Linked DNA regions of Mus musculus: all the other regions are reported to be linked to region 3. Evidence: microRNA targets listed by miRTarBase, many of them from high-throughput screens and not tested one by one. Region 3 holds a microRNA gene; each other region holds the end of a gene's coding sequence.

Evidence for each region. The annotated mature microRNA mmu-miR-7b-5p reads UGGAAGACUUGUGAUUUUGUUGUU and lies in region 3 at 2,189-2,212, opposite strand. An mRNA with a match to its seed (bases 2 to 7 or 8) in the 3' UTR can be bound and repressed. Matches are read on the target gene's strand: a 7mer-m8 pairs with bases 2 to 8, a 7mer-A1 pairs with bases 2 to 7 and ends in A, and an 8mer does both.
Region 1: the mRNA of Doc2b is a reported target of mmu-miR-7b-5p. Seed matches in the 3' UTR shown: 8mer at 271-278.
Region 2: the mRNA of Tenm4 is a reported target of mmu-miR-7b-5p. The part of its 3' UTR that is shown has no 7-base or 8-base seed match.
Region 4: the mRNA of Pgm2l1 is a reported target of mmu-miR-7b-5p. Seed matches in the 3' UTR shown: 7mer-A1 at 1,608-1,614 and 7mer-m8 at 1,499-1,505.

What each region holds. Positions count from the first base shown.
Region 1 is chr11:75,769,171-75,772,274 of GRCm38, forward strand. Doc2b (double C2, beta) reads right to left here. Exons shown (of 9, transcript NM_007873.3): 9 at 1-2,898. The coding sequence ends at 2,762. Among named protein-coding and RNA genes, the nearest start is that of Gm12339, 25 kb to the right of the region's middle.
Region 2 is chr7:96,906,239-96,909,342 of GRCm38, reverse strand. Tenm4 (teneurin transmembrane protein 4) reads right to left here. Exons shown (of 33, transcript NM_001310762.1): 33 at 1-3,104. The coding sequence ends at 2,752. Among named protein-coding and RNA genes, the nearest start is that of Gm22226, 12 kb to the left of the region's middle.
Region 3 is chr17:56,242,125-56,245,228 of GRCm38, reverse strand. Mir7b (microRNA 7b) reads right to left here and starts at 2,241; the gene lies at 2,131-2,241. A230051N06Rik (RIKEN cDNA A230051N06 gene) reads right to left here. Exons shown (of 2, transcript NR_155493.1): 2 at 2,424-3,073.
Region 4 is chr7:100,271,897-100,274,984 of GRCm38, reverse strand. Pgm2l1 (phosphoglucomutase 2-like 1) reads right to left here. Exons shown (of 14, transcript NM_027629.3): 14 at 1-2,658. The coding sequence ends at 2,556. Among named protein-coding and RNA genes, the nearest start is that of P4ha3, 12 kb to the left of the region's middle.

The sequences.
Region 1 (3,104 bases), not on the chromosome of region 3:
AGGTCAGACAAGATTACAAAAATTGTTTCGTGGCGCTGCAGTTTGAGGATGTATTCTGCAGTCGTCACGTGGCAGCAAAACTGTAAGCAGTGCACGAGTCCGTGTCGAGGACAGCCAGAGTCCATGCATCGGGAGATTCACTTGGCTGGAGAAGGACGGAGGGCAGGACGCTTGGCCCGAGCTCGGCGGGCGGGCGGGCGGGCGGGCGGGCCACGGAGGTGCAGTTCCTCATTTTTGCCACTAGAGGTCAGGAGGTCACTGACTCTGGGTTGGAAGACGGGACTGTTCAGGGATTGGCTAACGGTGGTGGAGGGCGGGGCAGAGACCAGGACGCGAGGTGGATGATGGGCATCAAGAGAGGCCCTGGTTACTGACAGTACTTTGGAATGACCTTTGTTTTTGGTATCAAATTTCCTCTTTGCAACGCTGATGAGCCAGAAGGAAGATACTCGTTTGGAATGAAAGACTGAACTGATTCTGAAACTTCTCAAAGGACCTTTTCCCTTTAGTAGAGATGTAATGTACTGGGGATTTAGAAACGTTCCAGGATCCGGGAAAGTTCCATCACTTTTTAGTGGCCATCACTTTTTAGGTGGCTAGAAGCCCTGCTTCCCACCCTGCCTGTCCCTGGGATTGGCAAGGATCATCATTGAGTCCCAAACCCACTTACTGCCTGGTGCAACAGGGATCCAGGTTTCTTGTCCACCTGAGCCACCTGTTCTTTTGATGAGCTTCAGTCACCTCAGGTATAATAAACATTTAGGTATAATAAACATTTCTGTATCGTCGGGGGGTTTCTAAACTCCTCTCTGAACAAAGCACCCCAAAAGGCAAAATCTGAGTTACTCAGAGCTCAACCAGGTGCACTTAAATATCTGCTCCTGTTTCTAGCTGTATGGGGAAAACATCAGGCCGGTCCCCCAAGTTCCTTGACCTCAGGCTGGGGGTGGGACAGCTGAGTTCCAGGGCTTGGCTGTAGCCTTTGGCAAATCCTAAATGGCACAAATGATTTCAAAGCCAGCTAGAGGGTGAGGTGGCTGACAATAACAAGACTTCTCTGTAAGAGACCTCACTAAGCCCCATTAACTCCGGAGAGAGGGACCTGAGAGTCCTTGTCCTCAGATAGTCAAAAGGCTTGGAGTTTTTGCTTCAGCCCTTCACACCGTGGTGGCCCTGGAAGTTTATCAACAACTCTGGAGCCATCTCATTTATAAAATGGGTTGACCATGCCTCCCACCACACAGGATGGTGAAGATTCAATAAGAAGGCGTTTGCCAATTCAGTAACAGGCGACACCTTTTAAAGAGGGAAACCCAGTCTCTTACAAGCAACAGGTGGCTTGGTGCTGTGGAGAGCTAGAGACCTATTTTCCCTGCCAACTAGGGAAGGCTGGTGAGCACTGTGGATTGGAATCATGTTCTGGGACCCCGAGTTCTTATTTCAGCTGTAGGAGGGTTCTAGGCTTAGGGCAGGACCCCAGTGTCTTATCACTCAGTGATGGATTGAGGAAAATGGGGCTCTGAGATGATGGTGGAACTCCTTGGTTCCCTGTTCCCCCTGTGCTCCTGAATCCCAGTTGGCAGGAGGCAGTTGGGAGCTTCAAGACTGACCAGTGTCCTACCCTTTCCTAGAAACTGAGGCCAGAGTTCTCAGCTCCTGAGGGCAGAACCCCCATCCCTCCACCTTCCCCCAAACAAGGCTTTCTATTTTCCACTGCTGGTCCTGACTGTCTTGATAGGGCCAGGATGCCATAGGTAGCCGTGAAGGACCTAACACCAGCTTGAGCTGAGGGGATGAAGAAGGGAGGGACAGGTGGGCAGGAGGGATGCTTGCTTCTTTCCACATTAGTAGGATCCCTTTCTCATTCCCCTGAAGCTGACTGGGAATTTACGCTGAGAACAGGAGCAGTGTGCATTGAGACCCCTTGGGAGCAAGATCAAATGGGAGAGCTTGGGTTTGAACATTGTTTCCCAAGTGCTTGTACACATCCCTAAGCCTAGCTCCTGCCTAAAAGCCCAATGCTGCCCTAGCGCAACCCTAGGCCCCCATGGCTCCCTGTCCCCTGGTACCCTCTTTCAGGCCTCCTCTTTTCTGTATTTGGTTTTCTCCTAGCTTTCAAGCCACAGCTGGGTTTTCAAGACTGTGCTGAGCCCTGACTCTCATGGGATGCCTTCCTTGCCCTCCACCCTTCAGCAGTCAGCAGTACCCACAGCCCCTGCAGACAACTGGCTGGTTCTGGTATGCTGCACCCCTTTGTAGCAATATGTGCACCCAGATGCCCTGCTAGAGTGGGAATCCCCGTCCCAGAGGCTCACGGAGTCTATCTGCCCATCAATGCACAAGCAAGTTGGAAGCTCTGGCTGGCTACATTGTCTGTCCTGGAGTCCTGGGCTCTGCCTGCCCATTGTCCTCCCTGTAGTCTCCAGGCAGCCAGAGTACCCCCATTTCTGGGCTTGCAGCAGGGCTCCACCCCTCACCTCCAATAGGTCCTCACTGTAGATAGCCCTTCCTCTGGATGGAGCTGAGGCTGAGGATTCCCCCAGCTCTGGCCAGCTTGGATGCCCAGGGAGCTGGAACAGGTATCATGTTGTGTTTTCCTGTCCCTCTGAGGGAGGCTGGGTGCTCTTGGCCTCCTAGCAGGGGCTGCACTGTCTATGTCCGAGCAGACAACTTGGATCTTGCCCTTGGCGGCAGCTGAGAAAGCCCAGGGTTGGACCTGTGTGGGCCGGGTGGCAAGGGTGGGTGGCAGCAGATGGGACAGTCAGTCGCTGAGTACAGCCCCTGGGAGCTCATTGGTGAGCGTGTGCCAACGCTCAATCCTCTTGTCCTTGTTCTTCAAGCAGTCAAACCAGTGCTTCAGGCGCTCGCCCTTGGCGTTGATGCCCAGAACCACACCACCTGCGGAAGAGATCAGAGGGGCAGCTAGGGATTTCAGTGCCCCCAGCGTCCAGACCCATTTGTGTGTGGACAGCCCCTAGCTTCCAGCCACACCCTTCCCACTTGACCCAGTGTTTGATGTCATGTTTCTCCTCTACCAGGGACCAGAACAGTGTGGGGCAGGGTTCAATGGTACATAGTAGGGAGTGAAAAGGGGGAGGAAGGGC
Region 2 (3,104 bases), not on the chromosome of region 3:
TGTCGAAAGAGCGGGAGCTGTCCAGGATGGCATTTTATATTTAAAGTCTCCTAAATGGGCGAAAGGAACTGTGGCCTGTGCCTTTAAACACACCTGGGAGGTGGAATCCAACTGAAAGGAGCCAAGGTCATAGTTCAGGGAGGACAGCATCAGTGTCAAGGGAGGCACATGGCACTGTCTGGCCTACAGCTGAGGTCCTATACAGCTCAGGGATGCTTGCCTGTTTCCTCTCTGGGGTGGCAGTCCAGGAAGAATATGGGATCATTCCTTTTAAAGAAGAATACCCCATATCTCATGGTATTCACTGATGCCTAAAAATATAGTCTTTGAGGGAGGGAGACAACAGAGGAGGAAGTCACAGGCTGGACAGCTACAAGGAGATGGTCCCTTGGGTCACATGCTGTCTCTCTGTCTTATAAGTAAATGACCCCGGCGGATCTCAGCCAATGTCAGGCAGCCAGTATGGGACAGATCAACTAGGCCAACTCACAGGACAACTCTGCCCACAGGACCCTTACAGCAAACGTACATTTTGAGGGGCATATGTCTTCTGGATACAGAAAAACCCATGTGTTTCAGGTCAAACTATTTTCTATCCCACCCAAGAATGATCATACCAGAAGGGGGTCTGCATTACAGCTCGCGCTAGGTACTGTGGGCCTGAGAGGGCATCAAATCTGACCCAGCAGAGCTTTGATCCAGAGGCAATGAGCAACCAGTGGATAGAGCAGGCTGTGGCACACGGTTGCAACAGCGTGACGGATTTTTTTTTTCTTTTTTCTTTTTTTGGAATCAGGAAGAGCACTTAACGAAACACATCCTCTTATCCCAGTGGGACAACATAAGGCGAGATCTCCCCTCCCCCAACACGCTTTGGACACCTCTCTCTGCCAGGCAGAACTACACACTGCTCCGATTCTCCTGCGGTAAGAGACCTTCTTGGTTTCATTAACTCATGTCATATTCTTAAGACTCTGTAAGGCTATAAAGGTGCCATGAGCTTTATCAGTCCAACAAGGTTCCCACGGGGAATAGCTTAGACTCGGAATTCATTTTCCACACTTAATGTAAATGTAACCCATAAAAGTCCCATTTTCTAAGAAGCCCGGCTCAAAAGGAAGCATTTGGCTTCCCCAGTCTCCCAGACACTGGGAGTGCCAATAACAATGGTATCTAGGCAGACAAAGCAGGAAAGGAATCCTCCAGTGAGCTCCTAGCTCTTGTTACAGTCCTCTGCCCGCCACACTTCCCCGGCCTGCTGGCTCCCTCTGGCCGGTCCTCCAGCACTGGCTGCGCCTATGCCTACTCTCGTCCAAATGCCATGTACACAGGTCTTCACAGGAACAATGCTAGCCTGGCCTTCTGGGTCCATGGGTACCAGCTCTGGCACCGCCATCCCTGATCTCAGTGGGGTTGTATGACCCTGCTAGGCCAAACCAAAGAGCTCTTTCTTCTTATTTAAAAACAAAAACAAAACCACTCCTGCCTGGGGTTCTTTAATGAAGAATTCCACAGAAGGAAATTCCTGAAGGCCTAGCCTTCAGGGAATAGCCTGAACAGGGGAGGCAGAGGAGACTCCAGGACCTGGCTAGGGTGCTTGGCTCATGCCTTTGTTGACTCCTGTCTTTGGCTGACTTGTTCTTTTATACATCTTTCCAGGATCAAAGGCATCTCTTGCCACACTCCCAATCATCAGTGGTGGCATCCGAGCACTGGAGGGAAGATAACCCAAAGCCATGGGGACAGGGTTCCCTCGACTTCCCTTTGGGAACGTTGGGGGCTTGCTGCGCACTGCTGGTTCTCACAACTGACTTTGGGAGAGAGGAGGAGATGAGCGAGGGGCATCATGGAGGATCAACAACTCACAGCATCCTGGGTGCTTTCCCCTCTTGGAAAGGATGGGGCTCATAGTCCAGACTAGGGAATGGGCCTGGGAGACACACTTTCTCTATCTCATTATGGGTGGGGGGCGGCACTGACAGCTACACTAGAGATTTGTAAAAGGGGGGTGGGTGGGTTCATTTAGCATCAAAATATAAAGCTCAGACAGGAGTTTGGGGTGGCTTGAAAAGGTGCTGAACAGCATCATGGAAATTTCCAGAGCATGATGTAGGTCCTCAGGAGGCACAAAACATGGTGAATAGCAACTCACCACTTCTGTGGGAGCCTAACCAGAGCTCCCAAGGTCCCACCGGGCCTGTGACTCTGTGACCCCTCACTCCTGCCCAACTCCAGCCAGAGAAGAAAGGGTTACACACGAGACAAGTTAGCACAGACACTCGTGTCTCACATCACACTGGGTACCTAGGGGCGGATGTGGACACACCCAAGGAGATGCGCTCCCCCAAGAGAGGAGAAATGTATCCTCAACGACAGGGAAAATTCCTCAAGGAGAAAAAGGGAACAAAAGACAATGAAATTATCATCATGATCACACTACAGAAAACAAAACAAAACAAAACAAAACAAAACAAAAAAACCCTTCCATTCTTTGCAAAAAAAAAAAAGTGTGAAGGCCAAATTTGTGTTTTTCTTTCTTTAAAAAAAAAAAAAAGGATGTTGCATGAATTAACAATGCAACAAATATCTTTCTGTTCTGTTTTCTGCACTTGTTAAAAAGAAGTTTTTGTTTTTTTGTTTCTGTTTTTTTGTGTTTTTTTGTTTGTTTTTTGTTAAGTACAACACAGTCAGGAATACGGCCACAGAAGAGTAGCTGTCTTTGGCAAGAAGTCCAGGCCTTGGCCCTTTCTGTCACCTTCGGCCCATCTCGCTTTGTCTCATGAAGTGGATATTGTTGGCGCTGTCTGACAGTTCTGGGTACTGCTCGACCGAGGTCACAAAGAAGCCGTCGTAGCCTTGCACCCGCCCCGTGTTCAGCACCTGCTGCTTTTCCCCATCTGTCCAGGCCCGCAGGCCCTCTTCCCCTTCCCGCAGTCTCTGCTGCTCTCGGGCCCAAGCCTGGCGCACAGCTCTCTGCCTGGCCAGCTCCAGCACCCGCACCTTTTCCTCATCCACTGTTGTCCCGTAGCGGGTGTTCAGGCACAGCGCCCTGTACTGCAGCTGGATGTCAGTGTAGCGTCTAGTCCTGCCACTGAGCACGGTGT
Region 3 (3,104 bases):
GGGTTGAGCCCACACGTAGAAACCCCAGTAAAGGATGGGGGCCAGGTTCAGTGGTGGAGTCTCCTAGAATCACCCAGTGAGGAGTTGAGGGCATGGTCAGGGGTGGAGCCCCACTTAGAGTCCCCCAGAAGAGATCTGTAAACATTCTGTTTGAGAGTATCAGCCTTTCCTAAATAGTGTGGCCGTTGCAGGAGGCTGAGAATGTTAACAAAGTCTTGTCCTAATTGACCAGTGAGGTAACAGGAAGTTTCTCCCACCGAGCTGAAGCCTGGAGAAGGCAGAGTTGGTTATGGGAGGTTATGTGAGTGGACTGTGCAGACCCAAGAGAGGAAACTGCATGGACAAAGCAGCCCCTGGGCTGCTGTGTGACTGAGTTTGATGTCAGCTTTACACGGGTGGAGCTTAAGGGAAGCAGGAACCTCAATTGAGAAAAGGCCTTTATCAGGTATTTTCATGATTAATGATTTAAGGCCATTGTGGGTGGTGCCATCCTTGGACTGGTGGTCCCAGATTCTATAAGAAAGAAGACTGAGCAAGCCAGGGGAAGCAAGTAAGCAACCAGTAAGCAACACCCCTCTATGGCCTCTGCATCAGCTCCTGCCTCCCGGTTCCAGCCCTGACTTCCCTCAGTGATGGAGTGTGGCCATCATTGTAAGCTGAATAAACTCTTTCCTGCCCTTTTCTTGAGTCAAGGTCCTGTCACAGCACCAGGATGCACACTAGGACAGCTGGGGAGAATTGCACAGTGGGGGATGGTTAGTGACTGCATTAGAATGTCACAGATGATAGGTGTTGAATGTTAAGAATGCCATGACCCACCAGACAACAAGTCCACATTTTCTTGGTATCAGTCATGCAACTAGTGGTTGCTTTGTGTGGCGGGCACAGAGTTTTATTGAAAATTGGGCTGGGGCTCCATGGGTACCGTACCCAGTCAAAGCATTTGAAATTCTGAATCCAACACCGTGTATGCTAGGCATGGTTCTCAGGGACTGGAGGCAAGAGAACTCAGTGTTCAAAGCCATCCTGGGCTACATTCAGAGTTAGAGAAAAGCCTGGACTACAGGTGACACTGTCTCAAAGCAGGCAAAGTGAAAAGAGTGAGGAAAAGAAAACAAGAAAGAGAAAAGAATTTCAGGGTTTTCTAGAAGTACCTTTGATGCCAATCCCTCTTTTAAAAGTTTTATGGCCGGGCAGTGGTGGCGCATGCCTTTAATCCCAGCACTTGGGAGACAGAGGCAGGGAGATTTCTGAGTTCGAGGCCAGCCTGGTCTACAGAGCAACAGCCAGGTCTATACAGAGAAACCCTGTCTCAAAAAACCAAAAAAAAAAAAAGTTTTATGTATGCACATGCTTTTAATTCAAACACTCAGGAGGCAGAGGCAGGTGGATCTCTGAATTTGAGGGTAACCTGGTCTACAGAGTAAGTTCTAAGACAGCCAGGTTTATATACAGAAACCCTCTCTTTTTTTTTTTTTTTTAAATGTAATTCTTTTTTTTTTTTTTAAAGATTTATTTATTTATTATATGTAAGTACACTGTAGCTGTCTTCAGACACCAGAAGAGGGAGTCAGATCTCATTACAGATGGTTGTGAGCCACCATGTGGTTGCTGGGATTTGAACTCTGGACCTTCGGAAGAGCAGTCGGGTGCTCTTACCCACTGAGCCATCTCACCAGCCCCAGAAACCCTCTCTTAAAAAAAAAAAAAAGAAAAATTTTTATGTGTGTTTATTTATTTGTGTGTGGAAGCATGTGTGTCACAGGACATGTATGGTCAGAGGACAACTTGCAGGAGTTGGTTTTATCCTTCTACCCAGTTGATCCTGGGGCTCAAGCTTGGGTTCCCTAATTTCAAAGCACTCTTTCCCTCTGAGTTACTCCACTGGCTCACCATTCCCTATTTGAGTCTCCAGAGAAAGCACGGTGCTGTGACCCAGGGCCCTGAGGTTGTGTCTCTGATCCTATCATGTAGATGTGTTTGAGTGACAGGCCAATAGCATGGGAAACACTCCTGCACTCTCCCAGGGCCCGAGACCTTGCTAGACACCCTCTCCTGTCCGTGCTAGACTTCCCTTAACCCCCTCCTGTCCCAGTTTCCTGCCCCTACCTGTTTGTGTATTTCAGGAGAAAGGTGATAGGAGTCCACGCTATGAGGCTGGCTGTGACTTGTTGTCATATCATATCAGAACAACAAAATCACAAGTCTTCCACATAGCACTGGCTCACGTACTCCGCTCCTCGTCCTCATCCTCCTCCGCCAGGTTCAACACCCTCAAGTGCTTCTCTCTCTCTCTCCATAGAGGATTGAGCATAACAAACCCCACTCACTGACTTACCCTCCCTAGACATCCCTTTTCCATTCCATCCCCTGAGACACAGGCAAGATTCATTCTCTACCTGCCCCCCAACTCACACCCTGGCACATCACCAACGTGGGATTTATTGTTCCAGGCACGAGGAGCACACACTTGTCACCCCAGCACGCAGGGAGTAGAGGCAGGAGGATGAGAACTTCAAGATCATCTTTGGCTACACAAGGAGTTCAAAGCTTGGTCTACAGTGTTTTAAAATAATAATAATTATATATATAATTGAGAGAAAAACTCTTTTTAAAAATAAAAAGAACTTGAGATTTAAAGTTGGATTGAGGCTGGCTTTCCCCTCACCACTTCACTTTGGAAATTAGTACACCCAGAGGCACTCATAACATCTCGTTGACCAAATGCTTCGCCTGTACTCTGTGAGTTTGAAGCCAGCCTAGTCTACATAGTGAGTTTCAGAACAGCTAGAGGTACACACAAAAAAACCCTGTTTCAAAAAAGAAAAAAAAAATCCCTCCGTAAAGGACAAATGCCAAGAACCATTAAGAGGTTCCTTCCCTGTACACTCTCCGCCAGAACAGACCCCAAGGCGATCCCTGAAGCTGGGTGTTGAGAGCTTGGCACTGCCAGGGGCCGGGTGCTGAAGCCTAGTCTCTTCGTGACCCGCTGGGAGCTGTCCGAAATCCTGGTGCTGAAGCCGAACTCTGCTCCGAGTCCCTCAGCCGGATGGCGCTGTCCGCGTCTCCAGTGCTGAAACATAATTAGTTATTGGGGGAGGGGG
Region 4 (3,088 bases), not on the chromosome of region 3:
CTTTACCACTGAGCTATGTTCCAGCCTAATTCTTTTCCTCAGAACTCCAGAAATTACTTATTTTGATTTATTTGCTCAAAGAGAATATATTCCCATGCTATTGCTGAAAAGAGGGATGAGATAAACAATGCAGTTATCATTCCAAGGTCGAGACCCACAGGCTGGCATGCCTATCTTGAGCTGTTATTAAATTTAGCCTGTTAGGCACCTGTGCACCCACTGTGTCATGTTCATGTTAAACATGCTCAGACAGACTCAAGAATGTAGACAAGAATCAAACGGTCTCCTCAACTTACACACTCTGGGAACCTTTATACACAGCTGGGATGTAGCCTTTCAAGATAAGGGCTCAAATGTCAGTAACGTCACGTGACGATGACTTATTTCTTGTATGTTTAGCACTGAAGCAAAGATATTCTCTTCACAAGTGAATAGCAATCATGGCGTGGCTTTCTTGTTATAAACAGGCTGTCACATTGCTTTAGTTTTCATTTTGTCCTTGGGCCACTGAGACACAGACACTAAAACTGAATGGGCATGTTTTTTTATACCACGTCGTAGAATACATGTTATTTCCTAAATTACAATTTACACTCCTAAAAGCCAACAAAATGTTTTAAAAATAAAACAAAAAATTCTACATGCTACTTTTTTTTTAGCACAAAGCCTCTAAAATAAACTCATACAGGAAAATGGCACTGAACATTAACTAGCTATCATCTATATAATGTAGGACCCAGTTCTAAGACAGTAAGGAAGGAACACAGAGCAGTAGTGGCAACATAATGTAAAACCTATCTTTGGATTATATAAGCTCAACCAAAATTATCCTCAAGCTGCAACAAAACACACCATGGTTTAATTAATATTCCAATCAGTATAGGCTTTATATTATTTATTTTTAGGAAACTAATCATCTAACATCAGTATTGTCTCCTATAGGCAACTTTTCTTAAATGATTATACCTGAAGGCCTTGCTACTGTTATCATAACTGTAGTGTGTGTATTCTGTAAACTATTTGGGGAAATATATAATTTGGAAAGCTTAGACAGTATTTTTCCATTAGGCTTTTCAGAAGGCTACAGAGTCAACCACAAATGACTTTCCTGAAAACTGTTTCGCATTGAAAAAGATGAAACGTATTTATATGATCAGAAATTCCAAAGCCTGATGGAGCATACTAAAATAAATTGACCTTAGTTCTAACTTCAGTTTCAGTGTTTCATAATACCTAAAATTTCCCATTCAAGCACCGTGCTTAGCCTTGTTTAGCTTCTGAGATAATGAGAATGAGATTGGGTATTGAATCAAGGTAGTGTGGCTGTAGAAAATACTTATATCTTGATGTTTCATTTTTTATTAAAATTAGCATTACCTTATCAGATAAATAAATCTGGCTATAAAAATGTAATTAAAAAAGACTGCCAAATAAATGCCATGCTGATGCCATAGGACAGAGTTTTTCACTTATAGGTTATGATAACTGAATCCTAGCAGGAAGACTCAGCTACAGTTACATTAAGCCAAAATTTATTAAGACCTTTTTCTACAACCATCTTTAGAGTGAACAAATCTGTTTCCTATAGAGGAAGCACCTATATAGTTTGGAAGATTTTCCTTAACTATCTGAAAATGGACTGTGTTATATTCAACACAGGAACATCATTTCAGTTCCCACTAGACCCTGAGAATGCACTGAGGAATTTGACAAGAATAAAGCCATGAGGAGTGCTGCCACTACTGTTTTATGTTCAGTAAACATCCGTCTTAAATACATACAGTAAATATACACCACACCAAGGGCACCCGAAACACTGGTGCCAAACCACAGACGGTAACATCTGTCCTAAATCAGAAAACCTAAATAACCTATAAACATTTTTTCCTTCCTTCCTTCCTTCCTTCCTTCCTTCCTTCCTTCCTTCCTTCCTTCCTTCCTTCCTCCCTCCCTCCCTCCCTCCCTCCCTCCCTCCCTCCCTTCCTAGACAAAGAATTACTGTGCAGCCCAGGCTAGCCATAAACTAACTAATGATCCTCCTACTAATGATCCTCCTGCCTCAGCCTCCTAAGGGCTGTGACGGCAGGAATATGCCACCAAGCTGGGTTTCTAATTTGAAAAACAGGCAGGAACAGTACTCCCAGCCACAAACACACAAACACCTTTAAGAAGTAATTTCCTTAACTAACCCTATAGTTATATAATGTTTGACTTCTTTTAAACCATGCTATACACAATTACAAGATACGTAACTAAGCTTAAGCACAGTTCAATATGAAAACTCACTTTTGTACTGTTTGTGATACAGGAAGAACAGCGTGCCACTGGAACACTTTCATTGTAATGACTGTCACTTAAGATTATGAAAATATTTGACTCATATCCAAATATTTTCATTTCAAATGTATATAATCTATTTAGCCAGCTGAACACAGGAAAGAAAAGGGAAAAGATAACTTGGCAGATGAGAGAATTCTAACACAAGGTTCACTGAGTGGAGTTCTTGAAGGTTTCGTTCCATATGTCAGTGCAGAGTCATAACGTACTGATGTGCCCTACACAGAGCGCCAGACCAGTGCGTTCTTACTGGGCTCAAGAAAATTCTCTATCAGCGCGTCAATGAGTTTCTTTAATTCTTCTTCCAGGAAGGTAGTGTCACTGAGGAAAAAAAGACAAAAACAGTTAAAATTCTTATTTTTATAGCCTTAACATTTATTTAAATCATTTCCACTTTTAAGGAAGGCACATATCTGACAGGACAACTAAATAATCGGCAAACAAAAGAGAAATTCACCCAGTTGAAATAAAACAAAGAAGACTCTTTAAAAATTCATACACAAAACAACAGTCACAAGCTAACACTGGACTGCATTACTCGGATGTCTTCCGGCCATGATAGAGTGTGAGTTCACAGTGGCCAATGAATTTTCCTAGGTTAATCAATTTAATAGCTCAGAATGCCAATAGCACGTATTATTAAAAATGGCTTTCTGAGATACTGAAGGACATTCAGTACAGAAGACATTGAACAATACAAATATCTTTCAGGTATCAGAAAGCAGTCCTGGCACTCACTGGGGAGGCAGAG